Linked DNA regions of Arabidopsis thaliana. The protein of the gene in region 2 interacts with the protein of the main gene of each other region in a biochemical or structural test. Each region holds a gene or a part of one and is shown on either strand. Other genes may lie near its edges.

Region 1 (10,031 bases), on a different chromosome or scaffold from region 2:
AACAACCAAAAAAATTGACCAATAACCGATATAGAACGTACGTAAAAAAAAGACATATTCACAACTCAGAAAGATGCAAATATGGTCCATACTCTCCATAATATTAAAACACCTGATTCACAACTCACAAAATTCAACTTGCAAACTAATAAAGAGAAGAACATAGTTAAGTGTCAATACATACAATATATGTGATATATTATCTATCATACATATATGCTTTGGTTATCCTTTGGTTATCGGTTACTAACCTAACCGAAACCGAAACCGAAATCTAAGACATATAATATCCAGCCGGTTATTTTAAGCTATCCAAACCCGAACCGAACCATGTTTTTCGGTTCGGTTCGGTTAATCGGTTAGCAGTTTTTTTGCCCAGGCCTAAATTGAATGTTTGGAATCACTAACGACTAATGCTGGATACAAAATCCGTTTAGATTTTCTATCATTATATAAATTTAAAATCTAAGCAAATAAAATATTAAAAAAACAAATACAAAAACGGTTTTTAAAATCCAAAAAATAAACAAAATCAAAATGTAAAAACGACTTATAAAAATCCGAATTAAAAACTTGAATGTTAATCTATATAATAATAGAAAAAACAAGTTGAATATTTGGAATCGCTAACGACTAATGCTGGATCCAAAATCCGGTTAGATTTCCTATCATTATATAAATTTAGTATCCAAGTTTCTTAAAATCCGTAACAACAAAAAAAAACAAAAAATTTCAAAATCTTTTTTTGTGACTTTAAAGTATAAATATTCGAAAAGCTGCTAATTTTTTGAAAAAAAAAAAGAAAAAAGAAGATTGGATAGAAATTGACCTTTTTTATGGGCTGAAATTTTTGTTCCTTTAGGTGGGCTTTGTTAGGCAAAAGGGCTTCGTTGATGTCATGAATCTAACGCCACCACGTCTCTCTGCATCGCAAACCTCCACCGGAAACGTATAAGCCACTCCTCAATCTTCTCTCTCTGTATCGCCACCGCCGTCGTCGATTGCAGCTCCTCGCCGGATTGAAGCTCCATCATCATGACTTTGAAGCTTGAAATACCGGCGACACGTAATCATTCTTTAACTTCTGGATCGTCACTCATCTCGATCGCTGTAATTTTTGGAACGATTCTCCAGAAAGGGCTCATCTTGGTCGAAGAAGAGTCATCAACATCATCTTCCATCACGTTCGTTTCTCGTTCGGTTTGTCGAAGAGCGACTGCAAATCAACAAATCAAAGTGTGAAAAATTTGGAGCGTAACGGCTAACGAAGAGGTTTGACCAGTCAACGATAACCAACGGTTACTCACCAATAATCTCCGATGAATCCTCATCAATCTTCCCTCTCTATCGCCATCTCCGTCGTCAATTGCCGTTTTTATCACCCAAGTCTTCGCAAAATCTTCGTAACGGCTAAGCGAACAGAACCGAATCCATCGGCTAGCGTAATGATTCTAAACGAAGAAGAGAATCCGATATCGGAGAAATCAGAGAGCATGAAATTGCGTATTTCTCAATCTATAGCCCTCTCTCTCTCTGTATTTCTTGTTTCTCTAGGTTTTTGTTTGTGATGATCGATCGAAGATACTTAAACGATGAGGCTATTCTATAAACATTAATGATGTGTTAGGGATTTCCTTTTTTCTCTTGTTTCCTTTTTCCTTTTTCCACATGTGATTAGGGTTCAGCGTAACGGTACTTTTTAAAAAAAAACTCTTATGCGTTGTTTCCTTTTTCACTTAATGATTTGGTAATTACGTACTAAACCATAGGTTAACTAGTAGGGAGCTACAAAAGAAAATTGCAATTTGATGTACATGTATGTTGATAATATACACAAGAGAAAGAACAAAACTTTCTTTCGTTTCAACATTCTTTAATAATATAAGAAAAAAAGAAACTGGTTTTACAATAAGTTTGGCTTTGATGATTTGAGCGCAATGGTCAAGAGACATCTGGATACAATCAAACAAATAAAGCGTTATCAATCCACCATTCATCTCCTCTAGTCCTTCAAAAGGCTTAAGAGCCATTAACCCCATTTAGAATTCTTCAGATCGGAGATCCATGTGTTGTTATAAGATTTCAGAAATCTGCAATAAGAAAGCACATTTGAAGTCATTAACCTAAGATAAAAACAGCAGAATGTTTCTTGCTTTTTCTTTGATTGATTGGTTCTACTGTATACATTGATTGGCATCTCAGCGATGAGTATGCCACTGCTTTCTTCGAGGCTTTTGAGAGTCGTTACTTCACCTCCAACAACCATGTTTATGACTATTCCACCTTAAGAGAAAAGTCTCAAATGTTAAGTGACATTGTTTGATGAACAAAAAGAGTTTGTTTTGAAAGAAAAAAAAAAGAACCTGAAGCTAAGCAAGTTGTTATACGCCTTGTATATGTTTCCTGAAACATGGTCATTACAAGTAGTGAATAAGAGGAAGGTTCTGGACATTTTGACTTGACAATTGCAGATTGATTAAGAAAAATACCAACCAACCTTCTTTGTAGGAAGCTCGTAGTTTATGAGAACGCGTGCGGATAGAGAAGATTCTCCTGATGAGAGTAACGGAAGGCAAACATCGGTCACAACTACCAAATGAGATGTCTTTTCTTCTTTTCCGTTTTCACTCTCTTCCAAACCTTCTTCTACCACAGAGTTAAGTTGCTGGTTCCAGTTGATTGTTGCTTGCCTGAATTTCTCTATAACCATAGCTCGTTCTCTATCTGCTAGATCGCTGTACTGTAGACACAAAAGACGTTGAACATAAACATAACCTAGTGGGAAGAACATGTAAGTTAATACCATGATGAACAAGAAAGTGGTACAACAAGAACAATAACAAACGGATATAAAAAACCGATGATATCAATCAAACAATGAAAGACAATGAACTCAAATCATGATGAACCAAGCAAGTGAATCAACAAGAAGGGTCTTTTCAAATCAAATACCAAAGAGAAGACTAAGAAGAAACATGCCTCAGCTATGAAAGTTAAAGAGAAGAAGAGAGAGAGATACCAAAGCGGCTAAGGAAATGTAAGGAAGAGTGGATAAGGAAGAACAGACGGCGTCAAGTTCGTCACGAGAGCTGCAACAGACTACAATCGGAAGCCATGGACGACGACCTAGAACGCCTAATAATTCCACTACAGTCTCCTGTGCCCACATCCAAAGTTTCGAAATTTGCGATTCAGAATCTCAGTCTTGATGAGAAATTACAAGGAATATTGATACAATTTACTTACCATTTTGAATTGGGGACGATCCACGGCGAGGTAGAAATGCAATTGTTGACTGCAAACCAAAAAAACAAATTGGGTTTTTAGGGTTTTTGTTAGAAGGTATGAGATAATCCTTATAAACTCAAAATTAAAACCTGGAACGAGAGGGAGATTGAAATGGTAGAGATGGAGCTTCCATGGAGTCCATAATCCGTCTTTCTCAAAATTGTCCAATTCGCCGGAGAAGTTACGCTCCGGTAACCAGGTCACGGACTTATACGCAGTCGTTTCCAGTCTTTTGAGATTTATTACTCTAGCAACGTCGTCGTTTGGTTATATGTAAGTATCAGATCTAAACAACATCGTTTCTGGTTCATATTTTACATAATTTATTTTTTGGTCAAAGACATTTATACATAAAAAATGATAAAACAAATGTTCGTTCAAGGACATTTACATATTCAAAATAATGGATGTGAATTACATTATTATTTTTATACAACAATACATTTTTATTCGACCAAGCCACAAATCAAACTTCTTTATTATTATAAATCAAGGTGATTAACAAATATTATTCACAACCATTACTAATTGATTTATACTTAGCCGTAAGAGGTTCTCTTCATCATCTTCATGAACTCCTCCAAGTTAACTTCTCCATCTTCTGCGTAGGTTAAGGCAAAAACATGAACTTGAGGGACCGATTATAGATAAAACGCAAAATTATTATGTGTTTTTGCTTACTGTCACGGTCTGCTTCTTCGATCATTTCTTCTATATCATTATCTGTGAAATTTTCTCCCAATTCTTTAGCAATCATCTTTATATCACGAGGTGAAATCTTCCCCTAAAACATTCCAAAAGTTGTCCAGTCAAACACAATGAAATCAATCCAAACAAAAAAAGATAATATTAAAAAGAATGAAATAATGACAGGTTTAGATTTATTCACATTATTGTCGTGGTCAATGATCTTAAACGCCTTAGACAATTCGTCTATGGAGTCTCGTTCTCCGAATTTGGTTGTCATCATATGCACAAATTCGTCGAAATCTATGGCTCCACTTTGGTTTTTATCTACTTCTGCCATCAATTCGTTTATTTGCTGCAACAATGAACATGACCAAACTAAATACAAGTTGGTTCTACGTACAATGATCTAAACCATGAAATTAAAACAAAGAAGAAAAAAGGAAGGAAAACAAACAAACCTGATTATTCATCTCAAATCCAAGAGACCTGTAATCAGCTGATAATTTTTTAGTACTATACTTAACTAGAACTTGAAGAAAATAACTTTGAAAAAGAAAGAAAAATTGCCGTTGACCTCATAGCAACGTTGAGCTCGCTAGCATCGATGCTACCTACATATGAAATGATGCACTAAATCATGTGAGCAATAACTTTGTAAATCGGATAAAGAATCGGTTTAATAGTTTACCTGAACCGTCTATGTCGAAAAGATCAAAGATCTCTCTGATCTCTCGTCTCTTCTGATTGGTCAACCCATAAGTCTTCCCTTTAGGCTTTAGACCTCTTCTGAGCTGTGCTGCTTCCGACATGTAATTCGCCTTCCGGAAGACAAAAAGAAAAACAAAACCGATGAACAAAGTAGTCGGATAAAGAATCTAAACTAAGAGACAATCGAGAAAAGAAAACACTAACCATTTCTTGTGTAGGAAGGAAAAGGATGATCTGATAAGAACAAATGGATTAAATGGATGATTTAGTTAATTTGGTTTATGATGCATGCGATGACGAGATTAGTTGCCGATGATCTGTCTCTTTTTTGTCTGGTTACTAACTCTTTTGAAAGCGATTTAGCTTTAAAACTTTTAGTTTTGCACGTTTATGTTCCTTCGTTAATATTAATCTATATATTATATTGGTTTTGCTAATGTAAAATGACATGATCTAGAGAACGAGAAATTTAACAAAACATCCATGTAAAATAGTGAAAAAAAAACTTTAAAATCCATGAGAAAAACAATAATTCAAGACTTTTTTTTACAGATAAATTAGAAACTTGATTGATAAATTTACAATCCCATAGTATTAAAATGAATCAGAAGGAATCCGATTCAGAGATGATTCACAACAAAGACGTTCTTAGGAGAAAACAGGACTTGTTTGATGGTCATCTTGCGTTCTTGTGACATTGATGAAAGTAAATGTTTAGTACAATGAACATTAACTGATGTATATATATAGTTACATAATCTAGAGAACACCGAAAGCTTCTTTAATAGCGTGTACAACACGGGAGGAAACTTCTTCACCAAACATTCTCGGAAACTGCAAATCCAAATCGTCCTCTATGCTCTTCCTTCTAAAGCTTTTATCTCTTCTCTCCAACTCCATTCTCTCTTCTTCCCCAACCACAATCTTCTCTTCTTCTTCCTTCACACACCGCTCCAACCAAACCTCGAGAACCTCCTTAGCAGCTGGACTAACATGATCTCTCAATATCTCCTCCAACTTATCCTCTTCCTCCGCATCAATCTTAAGCATCGAAGCAGTAGGAGAGAAAGCAGAACGGACAAAGAGAGAAGGAGACACATAAGGGTTAACTTCAGGTAGCTTAAGGAGAGATTGTCGATGAGAATCAAGAGCAGTGTCTTGGTAATACTCCTTGAGATAATCCGGGTTAAGAACAAGATCTTTACGATGTGGGAGGTCAAGGATTAGCACAAGCGACTTGGAACTGCTCTGTATTAGTTCGACCACAAAGTTTGGAGCTTTTGTTGATGAGTTTAAGAATCCAGAGATGCTTGTTATATTCAAAGATACTCCTGTTGGGATCTTGCAATGTATCCAACTTCCTATAACAAAATCAATCTGCAAAACAAAACAAACTTTAAGATTCTCTAAAAAGTTTTTTTTTAGGGTTATGATTTACATCGAAATTGAAGTCTGTTTCTACTTAAAATCAAGCAATTGAGCTCTAAAACAAGCATGCAAAACAGTCAATTTCGATCTCATAACTGAAAAACAGAGTTAATCGTCGCAAGTACCGGAGAAGATTTGTCGCCGGATCTGATATGAAGAGATGCTTCGGCGGAACCGTTAGGGTTATTGAAGTTTCGTACATCTGGAGGGAGGTTACAGGGAAGGAGTTGTGATTGGAGGCGATTCTCCACCGTCGACATGAGATCAACCATGAGCTGCTTCCGCGTGGGTGACACATACGGGAACTCCATAAATTTTCGGCGGAGGTGATCGTCGTGGTCTTCCATGGACTGGAATTGAGCTCGAGGTCTGAGATTCTTTGAGAATCGCGACGGTTTTGAAGTTAACGGCGAGAGATATGATGGAGAAGAAGAAGAGTAGAGAGTGTTGCAAAATATCATCGCCATTTTTTATGTGGCTATGACTAAATTATGTCTCTTCTTTTTTATTTACACTTTTGAAGAAATTAATTACTATTTTACCGGGATTATAGTTTTGTGGTTTGTAATATATTTCTTGTGGTGAATTATTACATACACATATTTAAATAAAATAAACTATGCTTTTTAATTTTTAAATGGTTTGAGAGTTGGTAAGTGATCTTCTTCTACTCAATCAAGTGATGCAAGTATTGGGCCAAGAGCGACTTAATTGGGCAAACAAATAATAAGAATAAATTTCTAAATTTTTCGATTCTTAAACAAGTAAATGATTTGTTTGTTGTAGAGCTAGTTGGAATTATTTTTCTCTCTAGTTAAGTAGTGTCTTTGGAACCTTACTAAATTTTTATTTAATTTCATAGCATTTTCTATTTAGTATATTGCTGTATTTTTTCGATTCCTTGAAGACATCTTTATTTTTATTTTCCTGATAAAGAGTTCTAGAAAATGTTTCTGTGACTTTTATAAAGACAATTTCGAGGGAAAAATATTCAACGGATTACGTAAAAACACGGAAACCACCTACTACTACTTGCAAAGAAAATCAATCAAACATAAAAGTAAAATTTCTTCCTCTTTCACAAGTTTTCAACTAAGTAGATGACCTTAGACCAAGTATTTCACATGCTTTTTTACATTATGAAGACATAAATTAAGCAACAATAAAACTTCAACATCTGTTTTATTTTCTTAATACACTAATTAAATTATATAATACATGAAAATCCATTTATATATTTGCGTTGATCCTTCTGGACCTTCTTCACCTTTTTAAAACATAAAAATAACTTTTCTTCCTTACGGAAAAAAATAGTTTTTTAAATCATTTTTTTCGTCGTCGTCGATGACGTGTCACACGCTGGTTTGAACAGTCTTCTACTCTTTTTTTAGTTGCAGACTTTGCTGCTTTTCCACAACGGCGCGTGAAAGTCCACGTTCTTTATTTCCGTCATACGGGACCCACTCACCACATAATTCTTTTCATCCCGGTCCCTCTTTTTTCTCTCTCCTTTCAACCACACCCCAAACAATTTCAATCCTTCACCTACCCCCTCCTCTGCTCCTCCGCCGCCGTCGCAACCTTCGCACTCACTCTCTTCGTCAGACTCCACCGGTTTAAATTTCCCTCCTTTGATCATTTTATCGATTTGTTCCGGTCTTACTTTCAGATGACCCGTCAAGAACGTCACTAGCTCATCGCGCTGCTTCTTCGCCGCCGCGAGCTCCGAGCTCAAGTTATTGTTTTCACGTTTAAGCTTCTCGTTCTCTCCTGATAAATCAGCAACCATGTTCTCCACCGAACCAGGATTCTTCGACGAACCGGGTGATGACGTGGAGCTTGAACCGTGATCATCACCACCACCAGAATTAGACTCAGAAGGCGAACCAACAACAACACATTTCCCCGCCGTTGAAGCAATCACCGATTTACGCCGTCGTATGTCCGTCAACAGATCCTCCCCGCCTCTCCGGAAATAATCGTTTGCAAATTCCCATTTATCCGGTACAGTTTTACGAAATCCCTAAACCAAAAAAAAAAAAAAAAAAAGAACAAGAACATTCTCAGCTTCTAGAAGGTTTTCTCACCAACCCCCAAATTATGAGAAAATTACGAAATTGGCTAACCAACTACAAAAGAATGATTCAATTCACCAAACGAATTAAATGAAGCATTAAATTGAGAGTAAATGAGTTTTCGTTAGAGTGAAACTCACGTAAGTGTTGAGCTGACGAATGAAGCTTGAGAAATTATTATGCTTGAAGTATTGAGGAAGAAGATCTTTAGCAAACTCTGCTGTTTTCCACACGACAAAAGCTGTTCCTTCTTCGTTCCATGAAACGACGTCGTCTGTGCTATGATCATCAACTAGCTGATACGTTTTGCTTAAAAACGGCGCCGGAACTGATCTTTGCGCCGCCGTCACAGCCGTCATCTCCGGCGAACTTTTTTTATTTTACCACAGAAAAATAAAACTAAAAATAATCTAATACACAAAGAGAAGAAGAAAGATTGGAAATAGAAAGTCGAAGGAAAAAGAATCAGCAACTAAAAAGCAAGAGAGCGGTGAGAAATTCCCAATCCCAGCAATAAAAGCCAGAGAGGAAAACACGAGAACGGAGAAGATCGGAGTTTCGTTTGGTTTCTTCCATTTAAGGAAAAATCTGATGATGGAGGAAGAAGATGAAGACGACGACCATACTTCGCCGGAGCTAATCCGTGTGATTAAAAAGTAAATAAATATAAAGTCTTTTTTATTTTTGTGTGTATGTGCAAAACAAGTAAAACAAATATATAAACGAGTTAAGTGTTATGTCGAAGGGTCTCTATATAACGTAGTAGGAAGATTTATAGATCACAAATGTTGGTCCTACCTTTGTAAGAAAATTAAATTATAAAAACGGATGCTGTTTCTAGAAATTCTCAGAAACATCTTTTCTTCTTACTTTCTTCTCTTTTGAATAATTTTTATCCATCAAAAATATTGTTAAAAAAGTCTAAAAAGTCTTATCTTTTGAATTATGTTCTACTTTTTCTCTCCCTTGAATATTTATATTCGTAATTTATAAATCTCATATTTTATATTATTGTTAAAATTATTAGATGTCAAATTATATTTTAATCTATAGTTGAGTTTATAAATCATTTAATATATGCAGAAATATGTAAATGCTAAAATATGTTGAGTCGCCAATCAAAACAATGTTATTTTAAAACAAACACGCACGAAAAGAGAAAATTATATACTTGTGTTTTTCTAGAAAGTTTTAAAATTAACAGATTTGTAATTTTTTTTTTTTCAAATATGACGGGAGACGGAAAGATATTTTATACAATACAAATTGCGACTTTGTTAATTAGTTTTGTTTCTATTATATTTCTTTTTGTATATTTAAATGTGTTCACCTAACACATTTCGGCTTCATTTCACATTTAGGCACCAATGAGCTTCATTTACCTTTTCTTTTTCAATATATGTGTGTCTTTAGACTAAACAATTCGGATAATATATTTTAACGTGTGAGTCGTGACAAATTCAAGTTCTTAAAATACCCATCGACATCTACGTCTTCATTCTTGGATTTATTTCCAACACCTTTGGCTTTTATCCGCATTTTTATTATCATTCATTGATAACGCCACGGCTAAGTATTTAATATCAATCAAAGACAGTAAAATCTTACCTAAATAGTTGGCATGGTTGAAGAAAAAAGGTCTTAGAGAGACGAGTATTCATAGTTTACACAAATTCAAGTCTCCATTGGAGAAAGACGATATCAACGTGTGAAAATGTCGATAGTTGCATGCACATCTCCATATATATGGACCTCATCATACAAATCGTCTATTTTTAAACGCTATATAATTGAGTCAGTATACTTATTTTGCAAGTTATAGTAGAATTTAGAGCTAATTAT
Region 2 (11,048 bases):
ACCCTTTTCCATTTAAATTAAAGATTACGATATATGGATAAAACATAGCAACGAAAAATTAGAGAGACCGACAGATTTTTTTTGTTAGTTTTATATTATATTTTATTTATCACACATTTTAGAAGAAATTAAACCTAGTTGTTGTGCTTTCGCATCCCAATATACATAAATCACAATCAACTGAGATTTCGTAAGAGTTGATTTAGGTTATGGTTTAATCTATAAGAAGGAGATACCATTTGCATTTCATCTTTATACTGAAATATTGGTGAAGAAAAGGAGTTTCAAATGGACTGTCATAAATTTAAATAAACCATTTAAAATATTTTAACTATCCTTCTTTAACACATTCATCCTCAAGCCTTTTTTTTCTTCTTCTTTATCACTAGTGGGATGGATCTTCAATTCCAAATTATTGGAGGAACAAGAAAGATGATAATCTAGACCACAACATAAACTATACAATAAAATGATAAATGTGTTATAGTCAATGAATAAAGAATAAGAGAGATGGTGTGATGTTTACACGTTTGGGGCCTAAACCAAAAAAAAAGGATGGGTCCAATATGCCAACTACTACTATTGTATTGAGAGTAGGAAGAGAGAGAAACCTTAATGGAGACAGAGGGACAGTGGGGTTATGTCAATTGTCATATTATTCAACCACTCACCAATCACTCACTCCAAATCTATATCTCTCTTTTTACAAATAATTATGATAGATTTGATGATAAGTTGGTTCTCAAATCCCAGCCGTTCAATTTATCCAGATATGCAAGAAAATATTAGATTTTAAGGAATCGGCCTTTCCTTATTTGGTAAGACTAAATATCTCTGTTCATTCTAGTTCCAATAGGTAAAAGAGTAACCTTTTTTCTTACATTATTAATAACTTGCATTGCACAATAACGTATTACCCTATAATTCACAATGATAATGTGTTTTGAAGTCATCTACACACTTCAAAGTTTATTACTCAATCGAAAATTGAAATATTGTCTACCACTCAAATTTCTTGAAATGGTTAAAATACTTGAACGTGTACTATATGCAAAAATCTCTGATATTTAACTGCTTTGAAATTTTTATCAGAATATTACTAGTGATGGGTCAATTTCTTTGTTAACCTTGTGCTTTATGCACTTATGTTTATAGTCTCTATTTTCTACACCTAAACAACACAATCTATTTGTAGGTTGCAACTCGGACCCAAATTTTTTGCTAAATTTTTTGTTGAAGTCTTATATTAAGCTAGGATTGTGACTTAAAATATGAATAAAACTCATATTGTTGGCTTAAAAAACGAATTAGGATGTTTGTATTTAGTAGGAACATAGTGTTATGAAACCACATCTGATAAACACATGATTTTAAAGTGTTTTAAAAACTATTCTAGCTTCAAAACCAGTTTCTCATTCATCCCGAATCTTTTTTTCCATCACATATATAGTAAATTCATGATAGAATTTTAATTTAACCTAAATATATATAGTTCATAGTTGGTTATGTTCAATCGATTAGAAGGGTTCTGTTGGATCCGAATTCGAGACCTAGGAACTACACCATGATACATTTGGGGAAAATATGATATACGTTAGTAGGTCAAACACAAATATTATCTAAGATTAGCCTCCGGCCAGAAAATTATGGACTTTGTATGTGAGGGAGATTGAGAAGCGATTGCTAAGATTAATAAATATGGGGCTTGTTGGTAGAGTAGATCTATAAAAGGGGTGATAGAGAAACGAGTGGAAACGCATGAAGCACGTTATAAAATTGAATAATTGAAGATTCAACCATATTCTTTGATAATTGGTGGGCATTTTTATTTTATTATTTGTTGTCAAATCTCTATATAAAGAAAAAAAATTGTTTTAACGTTTTCGGTTTAATGTTTGACGCATATATGTGGGAACAGTTTTGGGCGACGTGGTAGCTTCCCCTCCTCGTTTCCCCCAAAAGCCAATGCTTAAAATGACGAGAATACCCTCTCCAAAAAACCATGTGCTCCTAAGTCCTGAACTAGTTCTGATTCTTTTCTTTTAGCTATATAGGGAAGTGAGACTTGCGAGGGTGAGTATGTGACATCAAAATGGAAAACACTAAGCTACATAACCGTTGGACTAAAATGGTAATAAAAAGAAGCAGAACAGAAGTAGGTGAATAAAACTGAGAATGGAAACAAGAAACAACTGAAGAAATCGGATTTATATACGTTTTTGATCATATTCTTTGGTTCAAACTCTATAAATAAGTTTCTTGGCTTCTTTCTTATAAGAAGAATCGACTACACTTTAAGTTAAAAGACCACAAGCAATACACAGTTACAAGAAGAAAGAAAAGTAGTTCCAAGTACTCTCTCTACTTTAAGTTATAAGATCACAAGCAATACATAGTATTTAATAATTAACACAAGAGTCGAGCTTGGACTTTCTTCTTTCTTGGGCCTTCTTCTATTCCGATTCATCCCATTGACAAACCCAAAGCGTTGGATACTCAAATGCTCATTCGTAAACACGTATCCTCATTAGCTTTTTCTTTCCCATTTTGCTTGAATGTAACTAATTAATTTGGTTTTTTTTTTAATTAGTAAGTGTAGTATGTCAATATTGTACAACTAGATGATACTGATCCATTAGAGTAACACTAAAGTTACCAAAGTTTCATACAACTCCAACGACAAGCAAGGTTAGGCCTTTCCATCCAATATTATAATCTAAGAAGGAGCGATTGCCCTTGATCTGACCCAACTTGCGAGTGGAAAATCTAATGCTTATTTGTTCATTCGTTTTCTGAGATTCTATATCAAATAATAGTCAGTCATCACTAGAAAATGCTCAAACAACTAATATGATTCATACACATTTCATATCATATGCTTGGCAATATTGGACCGAACTTCATGATTTTTCTGTCCATGAATGCAAATGTGTTGTGATCTCTGAGTTACATCTCAAAATGTGAACTTGACATCATATTCTCGTTCAAAAAAGGAAGATAAGACAAAACATTTAAGAAACATTTCACAATCATAGGGGGCAAAAGATCAAAATTTAAAATTTCGGACGAGAGTGGAAACTATCAATCTTTAAGGGGATGATTTGGCAAAAGTGTTGTTTTTATTTTTCTTTTACTGTTTTCGTTTTATCATCTTTCAACGTCTTTCTCTCCCGACGGCCAAAAACCCCAATTTTGCCAAATCCAATTTTACACCCAGAAACCCTAATTTTCCTTACTTTGATTTGATTTTGTGATGGACGATTATACAAGAGAGATGATGGATCTCAAGACTTTGGTCACTCGAACCCTAGAGAAGAAAGGTGTCCTCGCTAAGATCCGGGTAAATTCCCTCTACTTCTCTACCATACATTATTCGCAGAAATTTTTGAGTGGAAATGAGAACAGAGAAGTGATTCGTTTGAAATACATACATTACTCTTTTTCTAGGGTTCCTGCTATTCAGATCGAAATGCTCGATATTGTTAATTGCCTATGCATCTGGAATCTTGCTGATAGTTTATTTGTGTTTGTAGGCTGAGCTCCGTGCAAGTGTGTTTGAAGCAATTGAAGAAGAGGATAGAGTGATAGAGAACAATGAAGGACCGCCTCCAGCTCTGTTGGGAAGCTGTAATGATCGTGCAAGGAAGCTTCATGCTTCTCCTTCAGGTTTTTTCTTCACAAGTTTTTGCTTTTATCCTTTTAAATCTTTCCTCTATGAATGGTTTGGTTCTAAATGGCATCTCTTGGTTTGAAATTTTTGTTGAAATGCAGGAAGGTTACTATCTGCGTTGATTTGTGAATACTTGGACTGGGCACAACTTAATCACACGCTCATAGTTTATCAACCTGAAAGCAATTTGGTAATCAATATAATCCCGTTTTCTTTTGCTATGTTTCATTAAGAAGATTGTTGATGAATTTTTCTCACTAATCTGGTGAACTCCTGCAAAACCTATTCAAAGCCAAAAGATTCGTGGAAGTCTGAGTTACGCGACTTTAATAGCAACAATGGTTTTGAGCTCAATAGAAATGGAGATAGTGGACCACTCCTTCTCGATGTTCTTGAAGGGTTCTTGAAGTTTGAGGTATTTCTTTCTTTTTTTCCCCTGAAGATGTTTGCAGCCAAGTGTGAAACAGAACTTTACTATCTATAACTTCTTCTCTTAGTTTACAATCTTTACAACCATACTCTAAACAAATTACAATAGTCCACCTGTAGTATGTGTGATTTATGAGTTGTAGTGTTAACAGTTCCTATTATGTAAGTGAAGATGATCAATACTTTACACCCAAGCTTTACAAACACCAACTTACATAAAATCTTGGTACTCTGTCCTCGCAACCAAGAGAAGAAGTTATAGATAGTAAAATTCAGTTTTCCAAGAAAAATAAAGTCTCTTAGTAGAGATTAGAGTTCTTCAGAGATTTGAAAAACACGTTTAGCAAATTTCCTAGCCTCAAGTTCTCTTCACATCTAAGAATCATGTTTCCATCCTATCATAGTTAAAACCATTATCATCTGTTTTTGCCGTATGCTCCTCAGATGTAGTGATCAACTTTTTTTTGTAATGAATTTTTTCTTCAGAGCATGACGCAGGGCATGGGTAGTAGTTCAAGGAGAGATTCAGAAACAGAGTCGTCATCAAGCCTTGAGTCCAGAAATCCTCCTCGCAGATCATCTGCTTCTGATAGCTTACCTCCTCAACGAAGGTACACATATCTTCAACTTCTTATTATTATGCCAAATCAAAGATCGTTACTCTTCGACATGATTGCTTTATTTACCTTCAAATAAATGGGCAGGCCGGTTTCTGCATCTCAAGCATCGGGTGAGTCATCATTTCCCTAGTTTCTTGAAGTATTGGTTGAAATACGTATGCTTCATTATTTTTTGATACCAAATAAATATGACAAGATGTTACAGATAGAAGAGCCGGGTTGTCTACATCTGGGTACAGAAAAGATGAATTCAACTGGAGACAAGGTAACCAAGATACACATGAAGAGGTAACAAGAGCTTCAGCGGCGCTGGAAAATCTACAGCTTGATAGGAAAACTCGGAACTTAACATCGTCTTGGAGGTAAGCTTTCAAGGAAGTCTCATTGAATCCCACATTGAAATGAAAACAAAGCAAGTTGTGGTAAATCTGATCCATCGGGCTTGCTTGTGTTGTAGGAATGTGAGGGATGGAACAAATGAAGAAGAAGGGAGAGATTGATTTAGGCTTTGGATAAACATTTCAGCTTCTGGATTAGTAGAGTAATGGTTTGTGTACGTGATATATGTATGTTTCTCCTTTATTTGCAACTGCGTTTTCAATTAGCCTTTTTTTTAACGCACGAACCTCTGTCTCCTTGAGAACAAAAAACATGAAACAGTAAAATGTTTTCTTTTGAGATTTGTTATGGGAAGAGAAGAGTTCAGAAAGAAGAATCAAAGAAAGCACAATGTGGTTGAATATTTTCATTCACTTGCTTCTTATTTTAGTGTCTCCAAAATTATTATGTCTCTAGTAATAAACAAGGTTTTTGAATGATGTGTTCACTGTTTGTTTTACTCGTACTTTTTTTTTGTTTTCCCTTTAGTCTTCTCTCTCTCTCTCGCTTCTTCGTTTAAAACTTTAAACTAAAGTATCGAAGAAGCCAACTCTGGATGACGCAAAAGCTTCTCTCAGAACGGCATTGTAGAATTCTCCGGTGACCAAATAATCCGATTGCATTAGTAGGGAATCTGTTATTTTGATCTGATCCGTCAAATTGGCGGTAAGAACAATGGACGATTATACAAGAGAGATGATGGATCTCAAGACCTTAGTCACTCGAACCCTAGAGAAGAAAGGTGTTCTCGCTAAGATCCGGGTATATTTGTTTTTCTCTTGCCACGATTCCTCTGGTTCTGTGACATACTTCATTCAAATTCCGTAGAGAGATTTGAGTACAGAGAAGAAGAGAAAACATACATTGCTTTTCTAGGGTTCGTGCTTCCAGATCTACTTTATGCATCTGGAATCATGTGAATTCCCAGTTTTTGTCGTACTTTGAAATTGAGTCTGTGAAAAAATTGTACCTTCTCAGCTGAATTGGATTCTTTAACATTTGGTTTGGAGATTGAAGATTTGTTTTTTTTTCTCTATATTCTTCTGCTGAAATTTTAGTTGTTTCTGTAGGCTGAACTCCGTGCAAGTGTGTTTGAGGCAATCGAAGAAGAGGATAGAGTGATAGAGAACAATGAAGGACTGCCTCCAGCTTTGTTGGGAAGCTGCAATGATCGTGCAAGGCAGCTTCATGCTTCTCCTTCAGGTCTTTCTCAATTTTTATCCTTCATATCTTCTCTTCACTTTTACCCTTCAGAGACCTTTTCTCTTTGAATGGTATGGTTCTAAATGGCATGTCTTGGTTTGGAAATGCTTTCTTGATACTTAGATATATTCGCTTGTTCGAAATGTGTCTCCTTGTTTTTTTCGGGTGAAACTTTGCTTGCTTCTATTCTTAGGCGATATGAACATTGAGATTTTGTGTAGTTGAGTAGGTCATCTTGATCACTTTATAAAATGTTAAAATGCAGGCAGGTTGCTATCTGCATTGATTTGTGAATATTTGGACTGGGCGCAATTAAATCACACGCTTAAAGTTTATCAACCAGAATGCAATTCGGTAATCAATATATTTCATTTTCTTTGAACTTCTGATATTTCTTTTAAGTACGTTGAAGATGAACTTTCTAACTGATGCTGTGATCCCTGAAAACCTATGCAAAGGCAAAAGATTCTTGGAAGTCTGAGATACGTGACTTTAGTATCAACAATGGTTATGAGCTCAACAGAAATGAAGATAGTAGACCGCTTCTTCTGGATGTTCTTGAAGGATTCTTGAAGTTCGAGGTATTTCTTCTGCTTTCTCTCTGAAGATGTTTACACATACAGTATAGCTTTTTTTTTTTTCTCTGTTTACAAGCTTTACAACCATATTTGTTACACATTACAATAGTCCAGCTATGGTACATGATTTCAGGGCGTTAATGTTTACAGTTCCTCTATTCTCTAAGTGAAGATGACCAATACCTGTTGGTTACATCGAAGCTTTACAATTACCAAATTAGTTCAAATCTTGTTACATTGTGCTCACGACCTCACATTTTTTCCAAGTAAATAAAGTGTCTTACTCAAGAAAAGAATTTTTCAGAGCTTTGAATAAGTTCGGTGAATTCCAAGCCTACAATTCTTGTCACACCCAGGGATTATGTTTCCATCCTCTTGTAGTAAAACCATTATAATTTGTCTGCTGTATTCACCTCATATTTAGTGATCAACATTTTTCTTCAGAACATGACGCAGGTCATGGGTGGTAGTTCAAGGAGAGAGTCAGAAACCGAGTCGTCATTAAGCCTTGACACCAGAAATCCTCCTCGCAGATCATCTGCTTCTGATAGCTTACCTCATCAACGACGGTAAATCCAACTCCATGTTCTACCAAATCAACGATCTTTAATCTTCCATGTTGCTTATGAGTCTGACATGCTTAATTAATGGGCAGGTCGGTTTCTGCATCTCAAGCATCGGGAGCCGCTACCTCAGGGTACAGAAAAGACGAGAGCAATTGGAGATATGACACTGAAGATATGCCGGAAGAAGTCATGAGAGCCTCAACAGCACTTGAAAATCTTCAGCTAGACAGGAAAACTCGGAACCTAACATCGTCTTGGAGGTAACTTGGAGCGTCATGGCTCTTACCTTACAAGTCGGATAGAACTGAAAAATAATCTAATCCATTGGTTTTGGTTGTGGTTCAGGAATGTGAAGGATGGAACAAGTGAAGAAGAAGAAGGGAAAGATTGATAAGGCTTTCGTTAAAATCCAGCTTGTGAATTAGTATCTCTACATATATATGTGTGTTTCTTTTTTCATGTATGGTTTTAAATGTTGCAACTTTGTTTCTTAAGTTTTTCGTTTGTCGTGTTTGAGAAATCCGATTGGAAGTAAAGATTATTGATATAAGATGTCAACTACAATTAAGCCGTTAACACAAACTCAAAAACTTTCATAAAAATTCTCAAATATTAGTGTCATTAAAAAAGCATTGTTAATCTGAGGACTGTATACATTCCAAAGAATTATCATTTCCCAAATTTATTTAAAATAATTTTATGATATCTAATCCTAAATCTTTTTGTTGAGGAAAAAAAACAAAAAAACAAGTAAACCTTGTTTAGGTTTATTAGGGTTTTAAAAGTATTTATATTTGTTTTCTGCTGCAGCAGACTCAAAAAGCTAAGTAAACTACTCAAGTCCCTCCCTTTTCCGGCGTCGCTATTCTCAGTCTCATTCTGTCTCCCGTAAGTCCTAACTAAGCTTTCTCTCTTCAGTCTTCAGCCTCCGCCCGTTATTGTTGACAAGTTTTAGCCTTTTTGTTAATTACTACTTTACTACTCTTGTTGTGAATTTGCTGCTACTGTTGAAGCCATGGAAGCTCGGATTTTGCAGTCTTCTTCTTCCTGTTATTCGTCTCTTTACGCTGTCAATCGATCCCGGTTCTCTTCTGTGTCATCTCCGAAACCTTTCTCCGTCAGCTTTGCTCAGACGACGAGAACAAGGACTCGTGTATTATCCATGTCGAAGAAAGATGGTCGCACTGATAAAGATGATGACACTGATAGTCTCAATTACAAAGATTCTGGTGTTGATATCGATGCTGGTGCTGAGCTTGTTAAACGAATCGCAAAGATGGCTCCTGGAATTGGTGGATTTGGTGGTCTCTTTCCATTAGGTATATATATATATATGGAAAACTGCAAAATTTTCACCTGAATGTTGAAACTTTTGGTCTTCTAATGAATGAGTGTGTGTGAGCAGGTGATAGTTATCTTGTAGCTGGTACGGATGGTGTAGGGACTAAATTGAAATTGGCATTTGAAACTGGAATTCATGACACCATTGGAATCGACTTGGTATAGCAAATTCTCTTTTGTGTGTTTTGTGATACTAGCCCATAAACTCATGGTTTAGCTTATTGTTATAGGTTGCTATGAGTGTGAATGATATTATTACTTCTGGTGCAAAGCCTCTGTTTTTCCTTGATTACTTTGCTACTAGTCGTCTTGATGTAGACCTTGCTGAAAAGGTACCATTGCTTCATCATCTCTTTCCCCTTTTGAATTTGAGATTGCTTTAAGGACTTGATATTGATGTATGCTTTGTTGTCAGGTCATTAAAGGGATTGTTGAAGGTTGTCGGCAATCGGAATGTGCTCTCTTAGGGGGAGAGGTATGTGTTACGGTTTTGACAATGTAGTTTACGCATCTTTCCATGATTGTGTATCAATTTGGTTTTGTTTTGTTTTTTTTAGACTGCAGAGATGCCTGACTTTTATGCAGAGGGCGAGTACGATCTAAGTGGGTTTGCAGTAGGCATAGTAAAGAAAACTTCAGTTATCAACGGAAAAAACATTGTGGCCGGTGATGTTCTTATTGGCCTCCCGTCTAGTGGTGTTCATTCCAATGGTTTTTCTCTAGTAAGAAGGTAAAGAGTTAGCGATAGTCGAGGTTTTAAGCTTCTGATTTCATGGCTTTTAACCACATTCCAATTGTTGCAGGGTATTGGCTCGAAGCAATCTTTCGCTGAAGGATGCGCTTCCAGGTGGATCAAGTACCCTTGGTGATGCTCTAATGGCACCCACTGTCATTTACGTGAAACAGGTTGGTTTTCTTGTCAACAAATATTCATTCCATCATCACATTTGTAACAACTCTATGACTTTCTCTCTCTCTGTTATTCGAAGGTACTTGATATGATAGAAAAAGGAGGAGTGAAAGGTTTAGCTCATATCACAGGCGGAGGTTTCACAGACAACATTCCCCGAGTCTTCCCGGACGGTTTGGGTGCTGTTATTCACACCGATGCTTGGGAACTTCCACCGTTGTTCAAGTGGATTCAACAGGTAATGAATGAGGAGAGAATCATAAACAGAACGATTACGTTTATACTTCTAGAATGTTTGATTGTTTTTTGGTTTATTGTATAGACTGGGAGAATAGAAGACAGTGAGATGAGAAGGACGTTTAACCTGGGGATAGGGATGGTTATGGTGGTTAGTCCAGAGGCAGCTTCACGAATACTAGAAGAAGTCAAGAATGGAGACTATGTTGCGTATCGCGTAGGAGAGGTTGTCAACGGTGAAGGCGTAAGCTATCAGTAGAGTGTTGTGTGTTCTTTTTTCTTCTGTGTTTTTTTAAGTTTTCGTTTCCCACCGTTTTTAAGAATTAATCCATTTGTCTACGGTTTTATGAGGTTACAATCGAGATGAGGCATTTTTTAAGACGTCGTGTTATTATTTGATCTAATTTTTTAAAAACAACCAATGTGATTGGTCTGGTTTATTCTCTTTGTCGCACAAACAGATGTTGAAAGATATTCTCGTTCTAATTATATAAAATTTAAACATGTTGTTTGCCTAGATGGTATGGGTTAAGAAGCTAATTGTCAAGAAAAAACAAATGTTGTAGGAAGAATTCTTCATAAAATTCATATATTATAAAACTGAGGGTATCCAAGAGAATCATTTACTTACTAGCTTAGAGATTAATGAACTATATACACCATTTATGTCTTGTATGTATCCCATCACCTTAAAATGAATATATTTATAGCAGCATACCACAAACAAACAAATGAATGTATTTAAAAGTTCTCCCAAAATTCAATCCGGAATTATGAAAAAAGGGTGACTGAGAGAACTGAGAAGCTATTGAGACTACACGTAGGACGATTTAGCTACTACGATTTGAAGATGGAAGTGGAAAAGAGAGCTTCAAGGTTGATTATACCTAGGAAATGTCTTGGACCTTAGTTTCCGTTGGTTCAGAGTTAGTCTCTTTTGCCTCTGTTGATGATTGCTTCTCGTCATTAACATGCTCCGGAGATTTTTCAGGTGTTGTGTTCTGCAAATTGCGGGTCAGTTTGTATACATAACTAGGAGAAACTATTTGGTTTTAAAGACAATTTTGAGGTGTTTCTTGGGTGAAGCCGTCTCTATATATGTTTTGTGTAAGAAGA
Region 3 (9,847 bases), 1.7 Mb from region 2:
ATGATCAGAATCCAGCGTCAGGTTTTGTATTCAGCAACAAAAATAAGGTTCTCGATAACAGTCATACACCTGTGGGGACTTGGGGTAACCAACTCACCTATCAGCCGGTGAGTATATATATTGTTCATGGTTTTTTTGACTTGGTTCAAGTTTCTACAAAAATCGAAAACGGACAATCCAAAAAATGTATCTGCAAGATTCTTGCTTACCTTTCCAATGTCATCTAAAACGGTTGTGTTTTAAGCCGCATCTCATAGTCACTTTATATGAATTGATAGAATGGTTTACTGAAAACAGAAAGCAGTAAGAATTGAGGACAGAGAAAGTCATAGTGGATAATAATCAAAATAGTTTATGACTCATGCTCTACTAGTTATGAATCACGCCTATGCAAATATCTGAAGCCTTTTCATATTACCTTGTAGGTTATGGCCCTAACCCAGAGTCAGCTTGATGAAGCCATGAAACCCGTATCTCATCTTTCATGTGTTTCTGTTGAGAATGGTGCCAACCGAATTAGCGAGTCAAATTCGACATCAACGTCTGTTGTGCCAAAGAACAATACTTTTTCAAGCAGCACAAGTCCAATAAATTCATTGCTTGCTGAGGGCAAAATTCAATTTGGTGAGCTGGTTGACTAGATACCTTGATTATTACTTTGAACTGGCTCGTCGTTGCATTTAAATGATGGATCTTTCTTTCTCTTTTAGGTGCAGTTACATCTTCCACTGTTATCCCTCCCTGTGGTGGGCGTACAGAGAAGGATAGCTCTTTATATTTTGAAAAAGATAACAAACATCGAAATCCATCATCCACTGGCATAGAGATTTGTGAAGCAGAAGCAGAAGCTGCTGCTTCAGCTATTGCTGTGGCAGCCATAACTAATGATGAAACCAGTGGGAATGCCTTGAGTACTGGCTCTGTATTACCTGTTGAAACCAAAATTTATGGAGGAACAGAGTTAGATGATGGGGCAGCAAGTGGTATATTTGCTTTCTGTAGGGTTTATGCATTCCCAAATGGTTGTTTGTTGTCTGAAGTAATTTCTTTTGCTTTGGCAGGTACTGTTGGTGGGCAGACTAGTCGATCAAAAGCTGAGGAATCTCTCATTGTTTCTCTACCAGCAGATCTTTCAGTGGACACCCCAATCTCTCTGTGGCCACAATTACCAAGTCCACACAACTCAAACCAAATGATCACTCACTTCCCTCCAGGCCCTCCTCATTACCCTTTCTATGATGTGAATCCCATGTTAAGAGGACCCATTTTTGCTTTTGGCCCGCACCATGACGCAGGAGCAACCCAATCACAGTCCCAGAAAGGTCCAGTAACAGTATCTGGTCCACCTACGACCTGGCAGCAGCAGGGTCATTCTGGAGTAGATTCCTTCTATGCCCCTCCTGCCGGTTTCACGGGTCCTTTTCTAACCCCACCCGGTGCTATTCCTGGCGTTCAGGGACCTCCTCACATGTTTGTTTATAACCACTTTGCACCTGTTGGACAGTTTGGAGGGTTGAGTTTCATGGGAACAACTTACATCCCATCTGGAAAGCAACCAGATTGGAAACACAACCCAAACGTATCTTCTTCTCCGGTTGGAGGAGATGGTGATGTAAACAATCCTAATGTGGCTTCCATGCAATGTAACATTGTACCTGCGTCTCTTCAGCACCTTCCTATGCCAATGTTTGATCCATCTCCTTTCCAGGTATTGGATCCCATCATTATGATTTCCAATAATGCTAACTAGTAGAAGAATCCATCGACTTAATATTTATTTTATGGTGTGGGTCAGTCTTCTTCTCAGGAGATGCCTATTCGAGCACGGTGGCCTTACATGCCATTTTCGGGTCCTCCAACGATGCAAATGCAGAAACAGCAGGAAGGAACAGATGGCTCCAATCTTCCATCACCTCAGTTTAACAACAACATGCTTCCTCCTCCTCCTCCTAACAGATATCCCAACGTTCAAGCATCCACAGTTGTAGACGCAATGGTGGACTCCTCAAACGCTTACAGTTCCACCACTGGTGCTCCACCAGCAAAGCCCACCTCCACGTTATCTGATCCCAACAGCAACAACACTCAGAATCCAAATGGTCCTGGCTTCAAGCCACCACAACAACAACAACAACAATCTTCTCAGGAGAAGAACACGCAGTCTCAGCATGTTGGTGGGCCCAGCCACCACCACCAACACCAGCACCATCAAAACCGGAGATCGGGCTACCATGGCAGAAACCAACCCATGGCCAGAGAGAGAGGCTTTCCGAATAACCCAAAGGTCAAGCAAATCTATGTGGCTAAGCAGACTGGTAACAGCTGTGCCTCTGCTTCCTCTACTACCACCACCACTTCCCCCTCAATTTGATGATTCTTCACCATCCAGGTCCGTTCAGATATAAACTCATCCCAATAACCCAACCAGCTTTGGCTTCATAAGAAGATTTGGACTTTTTTTCCTTTCAATTTTCCCATATATCAGTTAGCTTCCTTTTTTTCTTCTTTTTATCCTCGTTAGATAATTAGATTTTGTTCTCTTTACTCGTTTGGGGATTCATTATATGGGGACTTTGGTAATGCTTAATTTCGTCATGGTTGGTAAAAATATTGTCGTGAGGTTTTCGGTGTAGAATACCCAATTCACGGCCCCAATGTATCTGTTGTCAACATTATCTTTATAGCTTCTACAAATCAGTACACACTCTTATTGAATTAATTTTTTATGCTTTACTTTTTTGTTTCAAAACCCTTGTGCAATGAATCGACAACTTTTAAAGTTTTAAGCTAACTTGGAAACTTTGCCTAAGGAAAATGCTTTGTTATGATCAATGGATCTTTTTTTCTTTTTGGAATCCATTGATGTAAGCTTTCAAAGGTCGGATATGTTATGTAAGTGAAGTTTCCACAGTTGTGTAACTTTACAACTTATGGTTGACATAAAATGGTACCACTTTTTGTGAAAGAAAAAATGATGAATCGACAACTTTAATGCAACAGGGTATTATGACAAGACAAATCTAATATCTTTTTCTAGATGATGATGTGCGCAGAGGTCCAAATCTTGACGACTTATGAAGTAACCAATGCGAGCTCCTAAAGTTTTTCACTAAGACTACGAATATTTTGCCAATTTATACATCTTATAATGATACAAAGACAGACCAAGACTTGCCATTAAGATGAGCTATAGATTAAAACTGTGATATATGTATCTTCAGTAATAATATTACAGATAATTAAGCCTCAGTTAAAGAACTATAATAGAGCTCATCAAATATCGTTAAGAACAGCAACAACCTTTCTAGTTACCACCATAAGCAGTTCTCCTCATCATCCTCATGAATTCATCCATGTTAACTTCACCATCACCTGCAGTTTTCAGTAATGTATCATATATCTTTAGTCAAACCAAGCATTGTGCCACAAGAGAATGAGAAAAAAGGTTTAGGACACTTACGGTCTCGGTCTGCTTCTTCAACCATCTCTCGTATCTCAGCATCAGTGAAATTCTCACCCAAGTCCTTTGCCATGCGTTTGATATCATCCGGAGATATCTTCCCCTGAAAATTTGGAAGAAAAATAGTTTAGCTTCTAGAAAAATTAAGATCAAATGAAGTAACTAACTAAGTTATGAGTAAATACATTTTTGTCAAGATCAATGATCTGGAATGCTTTAGTGAGCTCTTCTTTTGTGTCTCTTTCACCAATCTTAGCAGTCATCATATGAACAAACTCATCAAAATCTATAGCTCCACTTCCATCTTTATCCACATCAGCTATCATTTTGTTGATTTGCTTCAATACCAAATACATCAAGGTATCAGAACCATAGATATAAACAACGAATCTTAGCGGAAAAAACCGAAAAAACGAAAGAAATAATAATACCTCTTCCGTCATTTCAAAACCAAGCGCCCTATCACAAATGATAATATCAAGAATCAATTCCAAAACCATAAAACAAAGACAGAAAGATATAAAGCTCTCGATATTACCTCATAGCAACATTAAGCTCTTTAGCATCAATGGTACCAGAACCATCAGTGTCAAATAGCTCAAAAGCTTCCTTAATCTCTTGCTTCTTCTGTGTCGTCAATCCATGATGACGTCTCGGTTTCTCTTTTCTCGAAACAGTTCTGTATATACTCGACTGCAATAATAACATCCAAAATTCAAAATCTCAGCTCTAACACTAAAGGGTTTCGTCTAAAATCTTCTTCAATCATGGAACCCTAATTTCTTCATTCTAACATTCGCTAAATACAAATCAGATCTTAAAAAAAAAAATCCATCATGCAAAATTGTTATCTAGAGATCCTTAGAAATTGCTAATCTCTAAACATAAAAAAAATAAAGACAGAATCAAAGGTAAGAACGAACCATATCTTCTACGAATCCTCCAAATCGATCGATCAAAGCTCTTTCAGTTTGCGCGTCTAAAGAAATCTAACGTTTCTGCTTTCCTTTACATTGTTGTTGCTTTTCCATACTAAAAAGCGGTAACGATATGGGTCAGATGGGCCTAATAGTGAAGGCCCATAACAAAACACAGATCTGCTATGTGTAGTTCTTAATCAGACAATCAGACAAAACACAGATGTGTTACTTACTCCCTCATCGTTCCCTACACTTTCTCTATTTTCTCACTATTTCGATCGTTTCTTCGGCCATAATTTTTTTCTTCTTTTCAAAAGTTATAATATATATAAGTTACGCTACAAAGATTTTGATCTGAAAGAGATCAGTTAATCTGAATTAATCACTATATGCAAATTCACGTGAATTTGCATAATCCTTTATCAAGCTTAGCAACGAATATAAGAGAAGCCAACACCACTCTCCCATGGACAAAAGTCAGACAATAGAATCTGAGAATATACTTTTGCAAATTGTGTTCTGTTGCATATATAAAATTATATATCACATACTAAAAGAAGATAAATCAAATCAAATCATGCATTATACAATAAACAATATAACTTATAAACAAGTTGGGTCCAACATATATTAGTATTTTACTATTGTGTGTGTAATATTACAACGCTGACTGGACTCCACCGACTGTTTGGCGTCTCAATTTACATACCCTGTTCCGGATTAACCTTTATCCCCACAACGTTTAACAGTCGTTAAAATTATCATCTCGGCGGCGATTGGTTCACGGTGCACGCCACCACTCTCGCCCATTGCTTCAGCTTCGTCTTCACCGTTTGCGGATCATCACCTATTCAAATGAAATTTGATCATTATAAATTTATAATCGTGTATGTGTATATATGTGTGTGTGTGTATGTTTATACATACTGGTTTGGTATACGGTGTGGTGAGGACTGGTATCGCCGTCGGAGAGTGAAGACGACGACGTTGTTGATTTGTTAGAAACGGCGTCGTTGTAGCTTTTTTGAACGGCGAAGTAAAGTTCTAACGCGGGAAGCGTGTTGGAAAGTCTTGGATCAGCGTTTTCGGGAGATCCGAAACCGAATCCGAGTTCGAAACTTGCTTTAAGCTCGTCGAGATCTTCGTCGGTCAAGCTCTTACCACGGCGGAGATGACGGTGGCGGGAGATATCTTGACGTTTTGACCAAGCTTCCTCGCGGATTAGATCAGGAGACCACGAGTGTTGCTTCAAGAGAGAAGTAGAAGGTAACGGTGGCGCGTGTATGCGACGCACTACCCCCGGCGAGGGGGTGTGCGGTGGTGGAAAGGTTTTACGATCAATGGCTGGTTTTTTGGTAATTAAGTCGAAATATTTGGGTGAAAAAAGTTAGGGGGAAGAGAAAAGTTAGTTGAAGATTAGTTATAAAGGAATGGAAGAGAGAGAGAGAGTGTTGCCGACTCAGGGATATTGGGCCGGCCCAAGTCATGATGATGACCTGGATTTGTTTTTGATTGGTTCATTTTAATTTTATTAAATTATGTAATGTACCTGGAATTACGAAGCAACACAAGTTGGCATTGCATAAAAATACTATAAAACTTTGGAATTTCTTCCTTTTTAATCATAGAATAAGGGAATTTTATGAGTAAAAGTTCGATACGAAATCGCTTTTATGAGACTTTATGTAATATGAAGAACTAGTGGGTTGAAGTTGATGTAGATAAACGACCTTATGTGTAACATCATCATCTTTGTATAATGTCCTTTCTGAGATTAAAGATACCGTTTTTAGATTTTAGCAAACGATGTACATTGACTTATATTGGGATTCTGGATTTGTGGCCCAGTTAGCTTCTTATAGCCCAATAACTATGTACTTAGTAATACAGTATGTTAACACTAAACCAATCCTTTTCTTGGTTTGGTTAGAGAACACTAAACCATACATAAGCTAATAAAGAGATTGATTCGAGTAGAGAAACAAGGTAAGGTTTGGTTCCTAACCATGAGAAGATAATCAGAAAAATCTACATCAGAATTTCTCTAGGTCAAGCTTAATTGTTAATAATAGATGGGTAGATATTCTCAATGTGTAAATCAATAATATCCATATGTACGAGAACAAACTTTTTTATGGCCGGTTGAACTAACTGTATTTAAGTGATACTTTACTGCGTGAACTAGTTGTTGAACCAAAAACGGTTCCAATTTAGACAGTGAAACCAAACTCGGCAGACTCTTTATGTTGGACCACAACAACATAGCCGATGATCATTAAGTCAAAAACTTAATGTGGTGGTGGAGTGGATGGTCTTTATACTCGTTAGTGTTTGATGAGCTATATTGGATATATAGGCATGTTCTAAGAATTCTAATACATATTAATGATATACATTTTTGTATCAGAAAGATGCATAGTATAATGTTTTAAATACATCAAAATGTGGTAGTTGGGTTTCAACAGCACCCAAAATTAGAAACTGTTGAATTGCAAGTTGACAATGACAACTTCCTTTGAAAATATATATCATCAAAAGATCGAAAACAGTCATACGAATTAAGTTTGTTATAAGAATTGTTTCGATCATTAAAATAGTTAAAATTTGATATTGTTTATACATTATTGATCTGATATTCTGATATGATCACTATTCAACTTTTGTTTCATTTATGTGTACCGTTTGTTCAACGTAAATTGTATATTCTAATTCACTAGCAAGACCTTGTTATGTTCTCTTTCCCATTTTACACTATTTACGTTACTGTTACCATTCGGATCGGACCTGCGATATTACCACATATATGGTATACTACTAAAACAATCCTTTATGTAAGCTCTTGACGTATTCCACAATATAATTAAACTTGATCTATTAAACGTATCATGGCATGTCCCAAAAGTTTACAATTTCTATACATAAACAGAATTTTAGAAATATGGACTAAATATTTAATCTGCTTAATAAAAACAGTGAAAGAAATACGCAGACCTGCAAAATCACTTTAATTTGGTGAATCTTATGGAACATACAAAAAACAAAATTAATCAAATTCAAAATAATGAAGAATACAATGATCGAAACTCACTTTATCCTTCGCCATCGCACGCACGCTTCTACGATGGTATAGCTTTATAGCCACCCTAAAACCTAACAAGAATCCATTTGTAAAGAACAGACATGAGATATCGACCACACGAGTGCTTACTTTTATGGATAATATATTTATCAAAAGGCGAATGGTTTATGAAAAGGAGGTCGCGAATTAAGGAAAAAAGGTTATCATACTTTATGTCTTAAAAAAGGTTTCTCATACTTTAACTAGAATCGTCTTTTTTATTATAATAGGTTTCGAAGTTTCGATTAGTAATTTGATGAAACGAAGTACATTTGATAGAGTTGTTTATCTCGGTTGTTATGAATTCTTACTTAGCAACCATACAAACAACTGATTTTTGGTCAGATATACATTATCTCGGTTGTTAGTAAAGTGTTTACATTCATTCGATTAGTAAATGGACGTATATTTTATGCGTTTTTTTTTTATCTATTCTCACTAGACTTATAATTGAATTTGGGCTACTATCAGTGCTAGATTGTTTTTCTATTTTATAAGAACAGGAGTGGTATAGTACTAGTGTGTTTGTTGTGAATATCGGTCAAAAAAGATTTAATGGCAACTTGATATATGTGCATTATGCATATTTGATATGGTCTACATGTTCTCTTAATTATTCGTAAAATAGGTTATTGTAGAAGGTAATAACTAATAAGGTATTAAGCACATGGGGGAGCTTTTTACCCACTTTGAATTTGTTTCACTAAAAACTATAATAATTGTATTAGTTATGATATATTATAAAATTCATAACTAGTTTATCATCGAGATAATAAAGGCCATCTTTGTGTAGTTTGATATATTATATTCCAGTGGATCACCTTCAAATGCGATAAAATCATCATTGTTTTAACCAAAAAAAATACTTAATTATCAAAATTGATGTTTTAAAATATATATTAATTAACATGTTTACACATAATTTTATATAACTATTTTTTGGTTCACCCATTTTTATTAGCATGTTATAAAAACTTTACTATATTTGTTAATTGTTACAAAGATAAATGTGAATTGGTTTAAACTTAAAATTATTGAGAAAAAATCCTAGATACTGCTAGCTAGTAAAGTTATTATTTTGGTTTTGATTTCGTTAGTGGTATTATTGAAATAAGAATATTATATTTATTATTTGATGGTTTCTTTTCAATTATTGAACGTACAAATATTATAAAACAAGCGTAAGCGTCCTAATTTTTCTTAACATCATCACCCAACAAGTAAAACGACCAATTACGAAAACCAACCCATGACAACAAGAGATTTTGACATTTTTGTTACGAAGACATTGAACCAAACCAAAGCTGTTGGACCAAATTGACCGATCGATTGTTGTGATTGAGTGGGGACATAGCAACGGTCGATAGAGTCGAAAGCCACACAAACGGACCAAAATTGTCTACGATAATGACTTTTTGTAACGACACTTCAAATTCAAGGCTATTGCCATAAATTTTGTCGACATATATGTCAAATATATAAGGAACATCACGTGTAGTCCAAGGTGTTTGACCTTATCATTTGTCGTGCAAATAATACGTTTGATAAATCTTTTAAACTTGGTTTGGGATAGTCAACAAGGGATTTAAATAAATATATCACGTCTTATTTCAATGTCTTATAAGTAAATGAGTATATATTTGTAAATTGTAAGATGCCTATAAAGTACAAAAGTAAAAAGTAAATCTAAAATATGATTTACGAAATGGATGTAAATGATCTTAGCTTTGAAGTTAACAATTTAACATTTACAAACTTTCTTCATATAGTATATCACTCGACCACTCAAAATGTGAGGGTTGGGAAGTTTTCATGTTCGAATACTGGCGATGAAGAAGAGACTATTTAACATGGTTCATAGTCCAAAGCAATTATAGATATAGAAGTTGATTAATGTAAAATACTAAAATATAAGCCTTCTAAATAGAAATGTTATATATGGTGGAGTAAGAAATTGTAGACCAAATCGGACCGATCAAACATCATAGTATCAAACAGTAAACTACATATTAATCTGCATAGGCAACAAAATTTTGGATGAAACGGAGAATCTGCACAGTATGTCAATCAATCGATCACACAACATACAAATTCCTAAATATTTAATGAACTACTTGCAAAAAATGGCACCTTCCATATATCTCTTACAAAAATCATATGTGGTTGGGACAAAATGGACCCTACAAATGTCACAAAACTCAGCTAACAATTAAACATCTAACTTGTAAATGTTCCTAAAGCTTCACACCCAGACAACAAATACTCTTCACCTTATGTGAACATTTCATTAACTCTTACCCATACCTAAGTCCAACCTTTCACATCGTATATAGTATATAGTTCATGTAT

What was found.
Region 1: the proteins of TON1B (region 2) and CEN2 form a complex in vitro, tested with the Arabidopsis thaliana proteins (one study listed by BioGRID).
Region 3: the proteins of TON1B (region 2) and CEN2 form a complex in vitro, tested with the Arabidopsis thaliana proteins (one study listed by BioGRID).

What each region holds. Positions count from the first base shown.
Region 1 is NC_003075.7:17,439,177-17,449,207, reverse strand, and holds CEN2 (centrin 2), read right to left. Parts: upstream 5,080-10,031; 5' UTR 4,894-5,079; coding exon 4,891-4,893; exon of another isoform or gene 4,797-4,890; coding exon 4,667-4,796; intron 4,590-4,666; coding exon 4,553-4,589; intron 4,465-4,552; coding exon 4,437-4,464; intron 4,331-4,436; coding exon 4,178-4,330; intron 4,073-4,177; coding exon 3,970-4,072; intron 3,890-3,969; coding exon 3,828-3,889; 3' UTR 3,593-3,827; downstream 1-3,592. Other genes in the region: AT4G37022 (uncharacterized protein), read right to left, coding at 964-1,047, 1,125-1,216, 1,308-1,344, 1,409-1,495; AT4G37020 (initiation factor 4A-like protein), read right to left, coding at 2,030-2,283, 2,364-2,403, 2,498-2,740, 3,020-3,157, 3,247-3,295, 3,378-3,430; ACD2 (accelerated cell death 2 (ACD2)), read right to left, coding at 5,446-6,063, 6,240-6,581; HSF4 (heat shock factor 4), read right to left, coding at 7,502-8,137, 8,330-8,548. UniProt on the Arabidopsis thaliana protein: Potential calcium sensor that binds calcium in vitro. Modulates homologous recombination and nucleotide excision repair (NER). Involved in the early response to UV irradiation.
Region 2 is NC_003074.8:20,378,359-20,389,406, forward strand, and holds TON1B (tonneau 1b (TON1b)), read left to right. Parts: upstream 1-5,537; 5' UTR 5,538-5,772; coding exon 5,773-5,859; intron 5,860-6,167; coding exon 6,168-6,300; intron 6,301-6,565; coding exon 6,566-6,654; intron 6,655-6,758; coding exon 6,759-6,881; intron 6,882-7,322; coding exon 7,323-7,447; intron 7,448-7,533; coding exon 7,534-7,704; intron 7,705-7,789; coding exon 7,790-7,835; 3' UTR 7,836-8,094; downstream 8,095-11,048. Other genes in the region: TON1A (tonneau family protein), read left to right, coding at 3,254-3,340, 3,534-3,666, 3,772-3,860, 3,963-4,085, 4,586-4,710, 4,804-4,829, 4,925-5,081, 5,177-5,219; PUR5 (phosphoribosylformylglycinamidine cyclo-ligase, chloroplast / phosphoribosyl-aminoimidazole synthetase / AIR synthase (PUR5)), read left to right, coding at 8,460-8,763, 8,850-8,944, 9,016-9,117, 9,201-9,260, 9,343-9,515, 9,589-9,691, 9,775-9,933, 10,018-10,191; AT3G55020 (Ypt/Rab-GAP domain of gyp1p superfamily protein), read right to left, coding at 10,820-10,933. UniProt on the Arabidopsis thaliana protein: Involved in the control of the dynamic organization of the cortical cytoskeleton. May play a role in the organization of microtubule arrays at the centrosome through interaction with centrin 1 (CEN1).
Region 3 is NC_003074.8:18,668,960-18,678,806, reverse strand, and holds CEN2 (centrin2), read right to left. Parts: upstream 4,671-9,847; 5' UTR 4,387-4,670; coding exon 4,384-4,386; intron 4,154-4,383; coding exon 3,999-4,153; intron 3,920-3,998; coding exon 3,892-3,919; intron 3,799-3,891; coding exon 3,646-3,798; intron 3,564-3,645; coding exon 3,461-3,563; intron 3,373-3,460; coding exon 3,305-3,372; 3' UTR 3,046-3,304; downstream 1-3,045. Other genes in the region: AT3G50370 (uncharacterized protein), read left to right, coding at 1-107, 426-624, 711-983, 1,062-1,708, 1,796-2,371; AT3G50350 (membrane insertase, putative (DUF1685)), read right to left, coding at 5,101-5,204, 5,308-5,724, 5,877-5,901. UniProt on the Arabidopsis thaliana protein: Potential calcium sensor.